Drosophila melanogaster: one gene and its partners. The protein of the gene in region 1 interacts with the protein of each later gene in a pairwise test. Each region holds a gene or a part of one and is shown on either strand. Other genes may lie near its edges. The genes, in order: CG31111, Cpr72Ea, geminin and CG4324.

Region 1 (3,173 bases):
AGCCAGTGAACTTTTGAGGACGCCCTCATCGATTTGGGACTTCTGCCGCAGTAGGGATCCAAACTTTTCGAAAAATCCATCATCTCCGTCTTGCAGTCTGCGGAAAAAGTGCAATTAGTAAATAATTCGAAAAAAGTCATTAAATATTATCTGCACTGGCTAGTCATCACTTAATGGGGATTTCATTTCGATTAGGGATACTCGTACTATGAGCAAGCTTATGTAGATGTATTTGAAAGCCCAGTGAAAAATACCCTAAAACTGAGTCATGTTTTAGTTGCGAGTGGGTGGTAAAATCGATCTGTGGCTTCCCCCACTCCCTTACATCACTTGCCATTCCTCACGCACACACGTTAATTTCACTTGATAATCTTTAATTTATCTGATGACACAGTTCCAGTTCTCCAAAATGTTCATATTTGTCTAGAGAAATAGAAACACACATTTCGGCTCGTCTGGCGAACAAATGTTTGTCTATCGGTGAGTTTTCAAGTTTTCTACAGGTATGCGTGAGTCTGTATTTTATTCATCCAACTTACTGGTGTTCATGCTCCGTGGGTGGATTCATTTTGAGCTCCTGCAACTTGAAGAAGAAGCCCTTCCACATCTGCTCCTCGTCCATTGTGATGTTGCGTTTTTAGCTTCAGAGGCACTGAATCGAAATCGGAATCCAACAAGTGTCACCGGAGTGTAGAAACATACTAACGGCTTATTTGCACCGAAACCGAAACGAACAAACGATGTGATTCATTGCCAAAGCTGCTCTCCGACGTAGATTTTTCTCAGTGGTATTCACACGCTCTTCCCTACACTATCGCAAACACATTATAATGAGCTATGGATGTTTGTAGTATCTAACATTGGGCGAAAGTGGGGAAATGGGAAGGAACGGGATGATACATACAGACAGACACCTGTTGCCATGGTGATCGGACGTTTTTTCTAGCTCTCATGCTAATGATTTTAAAAACTTATAGTTTGTAACTCTTGAAATTGTTGAATGAAAATCCATTAAGAAGTTACCAATCATCAATGGTTCTAATGGTGGTAAGCCTCACGCACACCTGTTTATGTACATATACTCTTGAAGGGCTAGGTGTTGGTATTCTTGTAACTACCTTTGCAGACTGGTGCTTCCATGGTCAAACTACGCACTTTAAGGCACATTTTCAGATGCCAAGCTAAATTATGTGCGCAACTATTTAACTACTTTAAAAACATACCTTATTTTTTCAAATATCCTTAATTCCGAGCGCCGGAAGTAACTTTTTAACATGATTAAGTCCTTTGCAAGGTCAGAATGCCAGATTGAATTAGGCTAAGAGGATTTGCAAATCCATTAGGAATTTCCTTAATTTCAATTCGAATTAACGTCTCCGTTTGTTTTTTTCGCACCCTTTAAAACTTTATTTATATCTTTTAAAATAAACAAAGATTAGATTAGATCAGTTTTGTTTATTAATTTGGTATGTAAGATATACCAACATAAATGAATCTACCGAATACCGTATTTCGATAACTTACGAATGGCAGCCCTGCAGTCCGATAATCATAACAAACCCACGGCAATAACAACAAACAAATCGTATCTCTTGTTTTTGCTGAAATTATAAATTAAAAAGCAATGAATTTAAAGTATAAGCGGCGCTACGAGAGCTTAAAACGCTCCGTCAAGAGTTATCTACTGGTAAGATCTTAGAAACTAGGGCGAAGTTATGCAAACTTAAGAGTATTTACAAGAAACCTTAAGATTCCTACTCACATATATGTTTACATTATAGCATAAAACATTTACGGGAAGTTATATGATCTATTAACTTTATAATACCAATTTCAGGAGAACGCCGCCCTCACGGATGAGATCTGTCGTCTGCAGGCCGAACTATCTGTGACCCGATCCCAAAGACTTTACTTGATAGAGCGCCTCATGTTTCACGAGGGCTTGGAGAAATCCAACAGTGGACGACCCAGTGTCTCGAATGGAAAAAACGACGCCGCTGAAACCACAAAGAAATACAGTCCTGTAGTTTCGCATAAGAACCCCGTCGAAGATAAGCCAAAAAATGTTACAATTGTACGGAAAAAGAAGCCCATGTTTCCGATGAACCTAAATAATGTATTACTCCACTCACTGGGCGAGATTATATCAGTGAATCCCAATTTTCACACTGAGAGCTGGATATATCCCGTGGGATATGTGGCCACACGAATCTACGCCCATCCCAAGGATCCGCGCAAGAAGTGTGTGTTCACATGTAAGATTTTAAATAACGCCGGGATTCCTCAGTTCCAAATAATACCCGACAATGATCTGGATGGAGTTTTCTTCGGAGAAAGCGCCAATATGTGTCACATGGAGCTTCTAAACTCCATTCAGCGGTCTCCCTGCGTTAAAATTAAAATACCGTTCGACGTACAGGGCGAGGTTTTCTTTGGCTTGTCAAACCAAAAAACACAATCGCTGCTTATGATGGATCCTGCCTTTCATCAGTGCACGAATTTCAAGGGATTCGCGGTGCAGAATGTGCAGTCCTTAAACAGCGCGTCTTTATCCTTTGAGACGCTCCAGGGATTTCTATCTTGATAAGATCTGTTTTTACTATTTGATTCTCGATATAAGAATAATAAGTTTATAATATAAAGACGAATTTTATTTCTCTGATACAATCGTTGCGAGAAGTACTTAGTTATGTACCTAAGTATGTACCTGGTACATGATACGAAAACACTAAAAACCCGAAACAGCTGATCTGTTTCAATTCCATCTCGTCCGTTTCAAAATATACTTTCCAGCTGTATAATACGTTATAATACAGTTTAAAATATTAAATTATTACGAGTGTTTGGGACAGATTGGTTAACAATTTCCAGTTAAATAGATAACATATTATTCTAAAAACTCTTTGTCCCACTTCCGCATGATTCAATGTGCTAAAATCATATGTTTTATGTGGGCATTCGCGGTTATTTCAAATGAAACTGTGCATTTGTACAATTGTTGTCAACTATCGACTTTTCTATAGAAATGCCGAAAAAAACAAGCTGGCAACCTGCCGAGGCAATCGGAAATACAACCCTCGAATCGAAACATATGTACACAACACCTATCTGAAAAGTATTAAACAATATTTTGGGAAAGTTGTTTTGGCTAGCGTTAAATTAAACGACATCCC
Region 2 (3,528 bases), on another chromosome or scaffold:
TGCAAATCATCCGGATAGGGGTCAAGGAACCGGGTGGGGCTATAGGACACGCCGGCTACCAATTCCAGTTTTAGTTATTTAGGTTGTTGCCTTTGCCGTTGTTTATGCTGCTATTAAATTTAATTGAAATCAAAATTCGGCCCACATTTATGAAGAGTTTATGCTGCACATATGTGGAATGTGATCGGTGGGTCGGGGGGCCAAAAGGTTGAGGTAGGACAGGGTCCGAGTGAACGTGTTCCGTGAGTCCAGGAGTTGGGCAGCTAAAGGGTTCAGTTCAGCCGGATCTTGAACTTTAGGTGTCGCGAGTTTAGTTATGATTATATTCAAATAAAGATACAAATGTTAAAACTAGAAATTATAAAGAAATTTGTTGATTGAAGAATAATTTTAGAAAGAATACTTAGAAAGAATATATTTCGAACAAATATTGTGTTACCAAAATGAATTTGCTAAAAATTTCTTTATATTATCCCATTACCACTTCAAAAGAAACGTTGCAGACTGATTGACAATTTTTTAATTTAAATTCGAAATTCTTAAATAATGAACCAAATCGTGCGAATTCAGCTGCCATTCAATAGTAAAATCCGGGGGTGTAGTACCTGGGAATGGTGTAGCCGTAGACCGGAGCAGGAACCACGACATGGTGGCTGCGAGCCACAGCAACTGGAATCTTGGCCAGCACCTGGTTGCGCACGCCTTCATCGTGGACGCGTTGAAGATGAAGCGACTTGGCCGCAGCCACTTCTGCGGTATCAGAAACGGGATGAGGCAATTGGGAGTGGCCACCATGGGATCCGGATGGGTCTGAGCCAGAAACCGGGTGCTCGTGGTGTTCGATAGAATGGGGCACCTCTGGATGAGCACTTCGACCGCTCTCAACGACAGTGTGATGATGAGGAACCTCAACGGGATGGTTGCCAACAGGATGCTGAGCTACAGCAACGGGGTGCTCATGGTGCTCGACGGGATGATGTCCATCTGGATGAGCACTTCGGCCGGTTTCGACAACAGTGTGATGATGTGGAACTTCCACGGGATGATGGCCAACAGGATGCTGAGCTACAGCAACGCGGTGCTCGTGGTGCTCGACGGGATGATGTCCATCTGGATGAGCACTTCGTCCGCTTTCAACAACAGTGTGATGATGTGGAACTTCAATGGGATGGTGGCCAACAGGATGCTGAACTACAGCATGCGACACCTCCGCGTGATGCTCAACATGGTGGTCTACTGGATGCGACGCGCTCCTGGGACTAAATTCTAGCGACTCCTGGGGAACTTTAGCCTTTGGCAGATTAGTGGCTGCCACATGGAAACCTTTGTTGTCGGCCACATAGTTAACCGTTTGCAGCTTTCCCGCCGCATCCCGGTAACTATAGTATCCTTGGGTGATTCCGTCTAGGGTGCGGGTCTCCTGTTTGCTGGACAATGGTTCCGAATAGCCATAGGAGTACTGACCCAACTCATCCTTGGCGATATACTGGCGCTGGGTGGGCGTGAACACGGCGGATCCCTCGGCAGTGTACGCATAGGGATAGTACAAGGCCAGTCCGTGGGCCAAGCTGAGGCTTCCTAACAGCAGAAGTGGATACTTCATGGTTGGGCAGTGGAAGATTGCTTCGAGTGAGTCTTGTTCGTCAGTTCACTGGTAACTGTTGATTCTGAGCCTAGGTCTTCATCCTTTTATACCCAGCAGGTTCTTTCGCGAGTTCTAGGTTCTGGTTCTGGCTGAGGTTCCTGCCGGTCAGATGCTTCTATTCTGATACACTGCGAAAAAATTCTAAAAGTATGCCATATTATTATCTAAGAGAGTATACAAATGTTTTATGCTCTTTTACCCTAATATAGTAACGTGATTTTTATGACTTAAATTAAATCCAAAAATAAGTAGTTCGTAATTTGTTTAATAATGATTTGTACAAAGCTTAAAACATAAATTTAAATGCATATAAATAATAATATTGCTAAAAAAGACTGTTCTTAAATTCCTGAAATTTTAATTTTATGATTATGACAATCATTAAAAAAATATTTTATTATTGATAAAAAAGGTGGTTTATTGTACTTAAATAGAATTCATCAAATTTGTACAAGCACACGTATTTCATTAAAGAATAACCTAATAGTAATAATATCTGTCACATTTTAAAATAGTAAACAGCCAATTAATTTTTTCTCCAAATGTATCCATCAGATGCACTTCAATGCAAACGAGGAGATGCGAATGCGTCGTCGTGTCCACTTGTGTCGTTAACGGACATTGCAGCTCCGCCTTTCACTCCCCTTTTGGGGATCGACGCCTCGTGAAGGCGTTGTCAATTTGGTTTAATTGTGGCCAAGGCTGGAGTGGGCCCAAATGAGGGAGGCAGACCCTGGTTCTCCGCAGCGGGAGGAGCAATCGCTGCCTGGCATCTCCATCTGCATCTGCATCTGGATCTGCAAGCGAGCCAAGGGCCTTGGCTGGGTGGACCATCAAGGCCAAAGACCGCATCCAGACCAGCGTGTAATTGATATGCAATCGTTGTTGCTGCCACAGCATTGTGGCATCTCAGCCTCCTTTTTGTTCGCACACTGCAACGGGGCCACGACAACAACAGCAACTTCAACTGCAACAGCAAATGCAACAACTGTGGCAACAACCGACGACGACAACAACGGCATCTCAAGGTGAGTGAAGGCCAAGGGCCACATTTGGCCACAGCTTGGACACGGGAGTCATGCACTCCAGTGGCGAACAAAATGGGGGTCTTAGGGGGGTCATAAGTACCCTTAAAAATTATAATACTTGGTTAGATACATATGTATGTACATAAGAAATATATGTTTTATGCGAAGAGCTTACAAATATGACACAGAAAAGGGTTAATTAAATCGTTAAGTCCGCTAAATAAATAATATAATGTGAATTTTTAGACACCTTATAGTATACACTGAAGATATATACTTATTTCAACCGGACACTAAGAAAACCCCCTAAGAATATGTTTCCCATCCGCCTCTGATGCACTGCAGCTGCATTGGTATCTCCTGTTCCTCCTTCGCTGGTCATTTTTATTTTTAGCAGCGGGCTTATCGGATGCCTCAGATCTCTGGTGCTTAAACTTCGCTCCCGATTAGGAGGAGGAGGAGGAGCAACTGCAAGAACCACATTGGATTGGCCTTGACGGCTCGGCTGATAAGTGCGTTTTAATGTTAGCCCCGTTGGCACTCAGTTTCAATCAAAGCCCAATTCTCTACAACCATTCCAGCCTGGCTTAATGAGCTGGTTAGTTCTGGCCTGGAATTGAAGTTGGATTGGCAATATAGTCCGGTCCACTTGGTTCACTCCCTTTGTTCTGTCTCGAGTGGACTGTGCCCTGATTTGTGTACCACCATTGGTTCTTTGAACTGCCTTCGTGGCTAATTAAAGGTGCACTTAAGATAGGCCAGGTGGCAAGAATCATGTTTTTCATTTTTCAGGACTGGGAGTACTTTGATTTTATGTCCTAGAAAAAAAGAGCAAACGAATCAGTCTAAAAGGTA
Region 3 (3,534 bases), on another chromosome or scaffold:
CCCTGCGCCTGCACATGAAGTCGGCTCACGGTTTGGTGGAGGAGCAGGAGAATCCCGCCACCTCAACTGATGCTGCACACGTCGCTGAGACCGATGATTCCGAGACTGCGGTGTTGATAGCGGCAGCCGAGGCAGATGCCGCTTACATAAACGCTGTGGTAAACGATGTAGACATCGTGGGCACCGTACCCACCTACGAAGAGTGCGTTGTGGTGAGTTACTAGTTCTTTGTATCTCTTCCCAAACTTACCTTTTTCTCTTCCTTTATTGCAGTTTGACGTGGATAACTTCCACAGCGAGGAAGTTATTACAGATTGGCTTAAGTAGCAGTTCACAGTTTTACATCCAATAAATATTTGTCTCAAAAATATGTTGTACCTTGAGTATTTTATTTTTGCGTTAGCTCCCCACACATTGAAATCCATCCGCATTGATGTAAGCTAATAAACACATTTGTTTTGATGTAGAATTAATGAAAGGAAAAGAGCATATCTAAACTAGCATATGGATGCGAAATGGTTTATATAAGTTGCACATAAAATACAGGAATACGAATTAAATATTGTGTGCAATTGTGCAAATGTAAAACTTTATTAGGATTATAACTGGCGTGTAACAAGTAAATATATTGCTGGCGTACAATTAGACCAGCCGTTGTGTTGGCTGACGACGAACAGGGATATAAACGCGATATTTAACTACAACTAAATGTAAAACCTTAGACTAAAAAAAACGTGTGATTGGTGTGTAGCCTAGGCGTTGACCTTGTCCTCGTCACCCGTAGTGTCGTCCTCCTCCACCTCGCTGTTGTCCTCTTCGCAGATCTCCTTCAGGACCTCCACCAAATTCTTGGCCTCGTCCAGTTCCTGGCGCATAGTGTCCATCTCCTCCTCAAGCCCCTCGATGCGCTCGTGCAGATGGCGGTTTTCGGTGAGCGAGTCCTCCAGCGCCAGTCGCCGCTGCTCGGCCAGCAGCTTGTAGTAGTTCTCGCCGGGTTCGGCTGTGCTAGTGAGATCCTCTGCCGTGATGGGCTTGTCAGCATTGCCAAGCGGAACGGCCTCAGCATCAGTCTGGGTATCCGCATCCTTTGTGGAAATCGCGGGCGCCGTGTCCACGCATTTGCGCTTGCCGTACTTGGGCGCGACTTGGACGCCGGCCTTCAGACGACTCAGCTGATCCACGATGGAGGCGCGCCCTGAACCAGTGAGGTTCTCCTTATCGTTTACGTTGCCCTGCAAGGGTTTCAGGGTCTGTCTCTGCTGCTTCAGGTGCTCCTTCTGCTCGGCCTCTGTCTCGACTTGGATGTAGACCCTGGCAGCGCTCGAAGACATCTTCGGAGATGTGTATTGTGCTTTCGGTGGGTTTGGTTGTCAGGCGGCAGAGCGTGTGCTACTTGCTTGTCTGTTGTTTATGCATTAATTTGTGCGCAACGCTTCACAGTTTTCCATTCGTTGTAATGGCCGCCAAAAAATGCCGATGCCGCGCGCTGTTGTCCAACACTGTTTGCTCAAGGGGCTGCATCACATGCAATTTCATCCCTCGATTTCGTGTCACGACTATCGCAAAAAGTTACCAAATTATTTTAGGAATGTAAAATTAAGATATCCCTTAAAATATAATTACAAACCTACAAAAATAATGTGAAAAATAACAAATCCTACGACTGCTATGTAGTAGAGTACTTCAAAATATTACCAATCATTCATATTAAATAATTATGTTAATAAAATATTAAATAAAAGCTTGCTGTATTCTTGCTGGTGGATGCTTATCAAAAAAGTATAGTATTAAAATTTCTGTATAAAGCAAAACTAAAAACAAAAAATGCAGCTTACTTTTTGGAAACAGTTTTCTAGCGATGTTTTTAAATTGAAAGAAAACCATACCTACCCTGTGTTTTAAACGACAAAAACAGTTAGACAGATACCTAATTTTAAAGTTAAATTTTTACTTCTTTTGCAAATCATAATTCATACTCAGCCAAGTAGAAGTCAAATATACCCCAATGTCGGATGTAGAATTTTAAATACTAAAAGGAAATGCCTAACATTTTTGAAAACATCATTAGCGTTTTTTAATAATAAATATTAAAATAGCTATAAAGCGAAGTATAAATAGGATTTTAGTTTTTATTTGTTTGGTTTTAGACCTGGTTATGGATCTTGAAAATAATTTAAAAGATTGTGTAAATTAGTTAAGAGATTATAAATAAGAATTGCTTGGATACTACCTTCTTATTAAGCTAGTACTCAAGATGTCCAAATAACATGTAAGCATTTAGCATTTAAAAGTATAAATAAAGAACTTAAAAGAGCTGTGTAGCTTAGGCTGAGCACCTTAAGTTTGATTGATGTATATTGAAGTTATAAATTCATTTGTTGGTCTTCTAGAAACGCGATTTCTGTGATATTCCGCCAGGTGGCAACGCCAGTCACGTCACGAGGACACGAAGGATAAACGTGCGATAAGAGAATAGCCGATAAGAGCTCCACCCAGTCGCAAAAAAGATGTAATTCTCGAAGTAGCGGATATAGATCGTTTACTTTTTTATTTTTCACTCGCAACTCATTCACCGCACCTCCATCCGCCCCACCACGTAGCAGTAGCCCCAAGATGGACCACAACGAAATCTCCATGACTATGGACGCCAAGCTGGATACACACGATAAGCGACCAGTGGCGCTGCGTTACAAGACATGGACCCGCTGCCAAGTGAAAATAGAGGCCATTAAGTGTGTGCCCTGCTTCCTGCGGCTCAGTTTCCAGGCCATGGAGACCGAGTCTCACTCCCAAGAGTGTCACCCCGCTAAACCCATTAGCGTCTCCGTAAACGTTCCGGGCGTCAGCTTGAGCCTGGCTACCTCGCGCACGAAGCAGCACTCGTACGGGCTGTTTTGGACGCAAAATCGGCGGGACTGCTTCATCTATTTCGCCCTGGAAACGGAGACATCCTGCCGACGTCACATGAAATGGATGCGGAAGTCGATTAAGAATCTGGAACTTTATCGCCAGGTCTTTCTAGAACAGCGCCGGCTGAGCAGGGGTCCCGGAGGTCTGGGCCCACTGCCTAACCTGCCGGAAACCCTCGACGCTAGCGCTCTCTCTCCGCGAGTCTCGCAAATATACGAGGAGATTTTTGACGGCAGCCGCATCTCCCGCGTCTCAATCGCATCCGGCATTTACGAAGAGATGAAGCCGTCAGTCATGGAGACTCCTTCACCGCCACCGCTGCCCGCACATCCTTACCGTCAGCGAATAAACACTTTTGAGTGCGCCCAGCTTGGCGAGATTGCGCGGTCCAGCACCAATCCCGAATCGGAGCTGGCCAAGAAGAAGAAATACAAGAACATGCTGGACAACCTGTTCGGGAGTTCACGTCAAAAGCGTTCCGGCAGCACCAGCGAGGTGGCCAATGAACCCAGCGATGAGGTCCTGCCACTGTATGAGAATGCCCCCACGCCGGAGCCTGTGCTTCCGGTAAAGCGCACATCCCAGTTGAACAAGTCTCAGCGTAATAGCTTCTCAAGTCCGGAC
Region 4 (4,667 bases), on another chromosome or scaffold:
TCCGCATCCCCATCAGTATCTGCAAATGCATTTGCATTTGCATCTGCATTTGCATCTGCATCTGCATCTGCATGTGCATAGCCATGTGCTTAGATGCCGAACAGAGCGGACGGTCTGAAAGTTTATGGCTGTCAGAGGAGTGCATATAGATTTCGGCACCCAGAGTGCGCCAGCATACATATTTAATTAAGTATTATAATATATGCGCGGGCACGAAGTTATTTATACGATCCCATACGTTATTCGCAATGTTTATGGTCAGAAATATTGGCTTGTTTAATTAATTTGCAACTGCACTTCCTCCTGTCACCTGTCAGCAATGTAATCATAAATAAGAGGAAATTGGCCTACAAAGTTGAGATTAGTCACCAATTAGACCAACACAAACGGGTAGTTAGTAGTAACACCTCCTTCAACTGAGTATTTATGCCAATGCTAGACTAGAGCTTTCCCTTTAGGAGCTTTGTTACTTGTTAGAAGCATCTTAATCTATTCTAGACTTTTTAGATTACTACTAGCCCGCTAAGCCTAAAACTAGGCAATCCGAATGAAACATTCACACAGCTTCTAGGGACTAATGGGTTTAATAGTAGTTATAGATAATAAGTTATGGTAATCAGTGCACTCAGTGGTAGCCAACAGTTTCCCTGGGCAGAAAGACGCAGGCTATGGAGGCCAGCAGGCCCACGATTGCGTACGTGGACATGGCCTGAATTCTGGACGAGTCCATCAGCACCTGCGCCACGAAAGGGGTCAGCATGGCGCCGAGTCTGGCCAGCACGGAACAGCCCGAAACTCCGACGGATCTCAAGGCAGCTGGGTATATTTCCGGAGTGTACACATAAATGGCCTGGAAGATGCCGGATATCGTGCCGCGTGCAATGAAGAGGGTTACGGAAGTGGAGAAGCGACTAGGATTGGAGGAGGATTGGATTGATTATCAGATGATCAATTGAGTGTGCACCACTACTACCTTTCCACCGACATCAGCACCAGAGTGCACAGAACCAGCGCCAGGTACTGCAGAACAATGGTTTTCTTCTTGCCAAACAGCTTGACCACCTTGATGGTCAGCAGTATTCCAGGAAACTCGGACAGGGTGATCCACAGCAGGTCCATAAAGTCGGAGGTCATGAAGGTGACGCACTCATTGGGATGGCTCTCCTTGTTCCTGGCCACCAGCAGCTCGGTCGTGACCAGCACCAGGCCGTAGTAGCAAAAGGCCGAGGCCAGCCAGAGGAACCACAACAGGATGGTGGTCCTGTACAGGCTCGGGCTGAGCAGGGATCTAAAGCTCTCCGCGCAACTGGGCTCGTCGTCGGCCATCAGCCGACCCATCAGCATGTGGCGCTTGTTGTTGTGAGCTATCTACAATCGTAGGTTTTTAGACGTATAATCACTCCATAAAGTTACCACTCACCTGTTCCAGAACCTTGATGGCCTTATCATTGTGACCGTTGTAAGAGTAATAGCGAGCCGATTCACTGAGCCACTGTAGTGATTTAAAGATACATTTGATTAAGGATATTTCTGAAGAGAGCGAGGAATACGAACCGGCGATAGGATGGTAAAAATGAGTAGGGGTGTAGCCGAAAGGGCCAAGAGACCTCGCCATCCGTAATAGGGATACACAACCAGTGCTAGGACCACTTCAAAGCAAGCTCCCAAGGCCCAGAAGCACTGAAACCAGTACAATATATTCAATAAATACGTTTAGCACACGGTGGCACGTACTCACGTCCATCAATACGACGCACTTTCCCTTGTGCTTGGTGGGCAGAAACTCAGCGTACAAGGTAACTCTTTTGGGTTAAAGAAAGTTTTAGGTGGAGAGGTACCTCCTAGTCCATGGAATTACTCACGACTGTGGAACGCAGCCGATGGCGAAGCCTACGAGACCTCTTAGGGTCAGGAGCCAGGCGTAACTGGGAGCCACCGAGCTGAGAATGCTATACAGCACTAGTAGTACTCCGAACAATGTGAGGGCCTGAAATGGTGGCATTTTAGTAGCTATTAGCTATTTGATTACCAGTCAGTCTTACCGACTTCCGGCCATATCTGTTGCTCAGCTGTGTCCAAAAACTGGAACTCAACATCATGCCCAAAAACACCACTGTTGTGACGGATGCCTGCTGGAACTTGGTGACATTCCACTCGCAGAACAAAGACGGGCCCAATATGCTGAGAATGGCCATTTCCATGGAGTCGGACATCCAGCAGAGCCCCACCAAGAGCGACAGCTTGACGTGAAACCATCCGAAACCGAAGGCATTGATCGCCTGCTGAACAGTGTAGGTATCTGTGAAAGGTGCACTTGTTACCCGAAATGTGTGAAATTCCTCTTCGGACCACTTACCATCCGGATTTATAGACACCGTCTTCAGCTCCAATGTGGATGAGTGCACATCCCGTGGGGCGAGATTTGCGGGAGATGGAAGGGCGGCTGGCTCGTTGTTCAGATAGTACATCTTGAATCTAGAATCACTTAGAAAAGTAACTTTGTCATTGAATTGCATCTTACAATCCAACTATATCAAATATCACATTTTTTAACCCGCGATTTCGATTACATCATGATTTTTATGATTTTATTATGCATTAGCATAAATTACCTTCCTCAACCGTAAAGAAAGTTGTTCTCGATTTTAAGACTGTGATTTATGTCTTCGTATGCAGATACACAGAGATTTATCCATTATATTTGAACATATTCGAATTTGCGATCTCGAAGTTAGTTAATTCTGCTAATTCTGATTAGGAAACACACAACAAATAGTTTAAGCCACAGCACAAACAACAACTTTCTTTCAAGCACTTTCTTTTAGCCAGTGAGAGACTGAGAATCGAATGCAATGTAAACAACTCGCACCACCAAGTCTCAAAAACTGGTTATAAGGTAACGACTGAAGAAGACTGTCTTCCAGACTGTGAGATCGATAACGATAGATGGCGCGCAGCTCGAAGAATTCAAAATCGTTGATAAGTTATAAGATTATTAACATTAAACATTGCAAGTTGGTATTATTTGTATGGAATTGAAAATATTTTTTAAAATAACTAAATAGGCTGATTGTCAAACCATTACTCCTACAATTATTGGGTTTTCCCAAGCCAAACAACACATGCTTTTGAGGATTTTAGATCAGAGTCTCACTATTCCATCGCGATGGACAGGGATTCCTGCCAAAATTTCTCATTAGACTCCACGAGCAGTTCCCATTTTGCTCCTCCGCCAGTTTGCGCGCCCAGAAGGAAGAAGCCGGAGAAGCCCGCAGCTGAGGAGGCATCTCCCGAATGCTCCAACGTCACATCGTCATCCTCGTCCTCGACAACCACCATATCCATAGGCGCCTTCGATTCGCAATGCAACCTCCACAACGCCCGGAATCCCGAGGCCCCGAACATTGGCTATGAGTTGAACGTGGCCAAGTCCATATTGCAGAAGTATAGCACCCTCAGTGGGGACAACTTGTGAGTATAGGATATCGTCTTAAGTACTTGGTACTCTTTCTCCAAGTCGGTTAGTACATAACCCAATCTTCAATCCCTGCAGGTTCGATCATCTTAGTGACATCATAAAGAGGGTGATTGACGAACGTCCTCCGAATGTGATAGACTTCTTCGAGGAATTTAGCCGAAATGTTCGCGAACAGAAGTTCCACTTGCCAGAACGCTTTCCGCCCAGTGGCGTGTTCGATGAGGTGCGATCTTTCCGGGTGGCCAAGAAAATTCTCCAATCCATGAAGGTGAGCAGTGTGTTATGTATATAAGCAGCTACACCACGCAACTACCATCTCGCATAGCTGCCCTATGTCGTTGAGGGTGAGGATCTGATGGGCGAAGACCTGTCCGTCGAGGATTTGAGAACGAACGAGGATATGCGCATTGTCATCGACGATTCCATGCGATACTTCGTCACATTCAACGAGCGAGTCCAGCAGCTGCAGTTCTATTGGACACAGTGCGGATTTAGCATCAGCAACGACGACATCTTCCAGCTGGCCAGCGCCATGAACCGGCTGCAGACGCATCCCTCGATCATGCAATGCAGATTCTGGGGCTGCATCAACGGACTGAAGGCCTCTTACTACATAGTGGAAGCTTCGCTCACCCGCGAGGAAATCGCCTCGCGCTTGGTCATGATGGAGGAAGAGATGCGGCAGAAGCAGATTCCGTTCCCGATGCGCAAGGACAGGGAGGACAAGCCACCGCCGGCGCACATTGGGCCGGAGCTCACACCGGGCATCTATGGCTGGGAGGAATTTCCGCCTGAGGAGCTCGAGAAGATGAAGCCCAAGGCTGCGCCCGTTCCCCTGGTGGAGGAGATGGAGCTCTACGACATTCCACCGGAGTTCATTGGCAAGGGCTGCAATAGGTACTCCTATTTCGTTGTGAACTCGCTATTTGACGACTGGATCGAACTACCTATAGTGACCCCTCGACAGATTGTCGTTTCGCGGCAGATCAAGAAGTTCCTAACAGGCGATCTGGAGGCGGATGTCATATCCTACCCCTGCTTCCCTGGAAAGGAGAAACATTACCTACGGACTCTGATAGGTCGCATCACAGCGGGTACCTACATCGCTCCTGTGGGCTACTACAGGCGCATGACCAAGAAGGAGCAGCGGATGTTCGATGGCGAGGAAGAAGAAGAGGGCGAGGAGGAG

What was found.
Region 2: the proteins of CG31111 (region 1) and Cpr72Ea interact in a two-hybrid assay, tested with the Drosophila melanogaster proteins (one large-scale study listed by BioGRID).
Region 3: the proteins of CG31111 (region 1) and geminin interact in a two-hybrid assay, tested with the Drosophila melanogaster proteins (one large-scale study listed by BioGRID).
Region 4: the proteins of CG31111 (region 1) and CG4324 interact in a two-hybrid assay, tested with the Drosophila melanogaster proteins (one large-scale study listed by BioGRID).

What each region holds. Positions count from the first base shown.
Region 1 is NT_033777.3:25,054,549-25,057,721, reverse strand, and holds CG31111 (uncharacterized protein), read left to right. Parts: upstream 1-1,544; 5' UTR 1,545-1,624; coding exon 1,625-1,687; intron 1,688-1,837; coding exon 1,838-2,584; 3' UTR 2,585-2,646; downstream 2,647-3,173. Other genes in the region: stac (staccato), read right to left, coding at 1-97, 540-622.
Region 2 is NT_037436.4:16,360,725-16,364,252, reverse strand, and holds Cpr72Ea (cuticular protein 72Ea), read right to left. Parts: upstream 1,651-3,528; 5' UTR 1,604-1,650; coding exon 578-1,603; 3' UTR 503-577; downstream 1-502.
Region 3 is NT_033778.4:6,654,899-6,658,432, forward strand, and holds geminin (geminin), read right to left. Parts: upstream 1,697-3,534; 5' UTR 1,628-1,696; intron 1,557-1,627; 5' UTR 1,332-1,556; coding exon 753-1,331; 3' UTR 565-752; downstream 1-564. Other genes in the region: Opbp (Optix-binding protein), read left to right, coding at 1-212, 274-327; sced (scrambled), read left to right, coding at 2,614-3,534.
Region 4 is NT_033778.4:24,014,348-24,019,014, forward strand, and holds CG4324 (uncharacterized protein), read right to left. Parts: upstream 2,852-4,667; 5' UTR 2,613-2,851; intron 2,485-2,612; 5' UTR 2,469-2,484; coding exon 2,357-2,468; intron 2,300-2,356; coding exon 2,043-2,299; intron 1,988-2,042; coding exon 1,863-1,987; intron 1,803-1,862; coding exon 1,739-1,802; intron 1,681-1,738; coding exon 1,555-1,680; intron 1,493-1,554; coding exon 1,421-1,492; intron 1,369-1,420; coding exon 974-1,368; intron 912-973; coding exon 626-911; 3' UTR 570-625; downstream 1-569. Other genes in the region: Rsph4a (radial spoke head protein 4a), read left to right, coding at 3,167-3,471, 3,554-3,746, 3,804-4,667.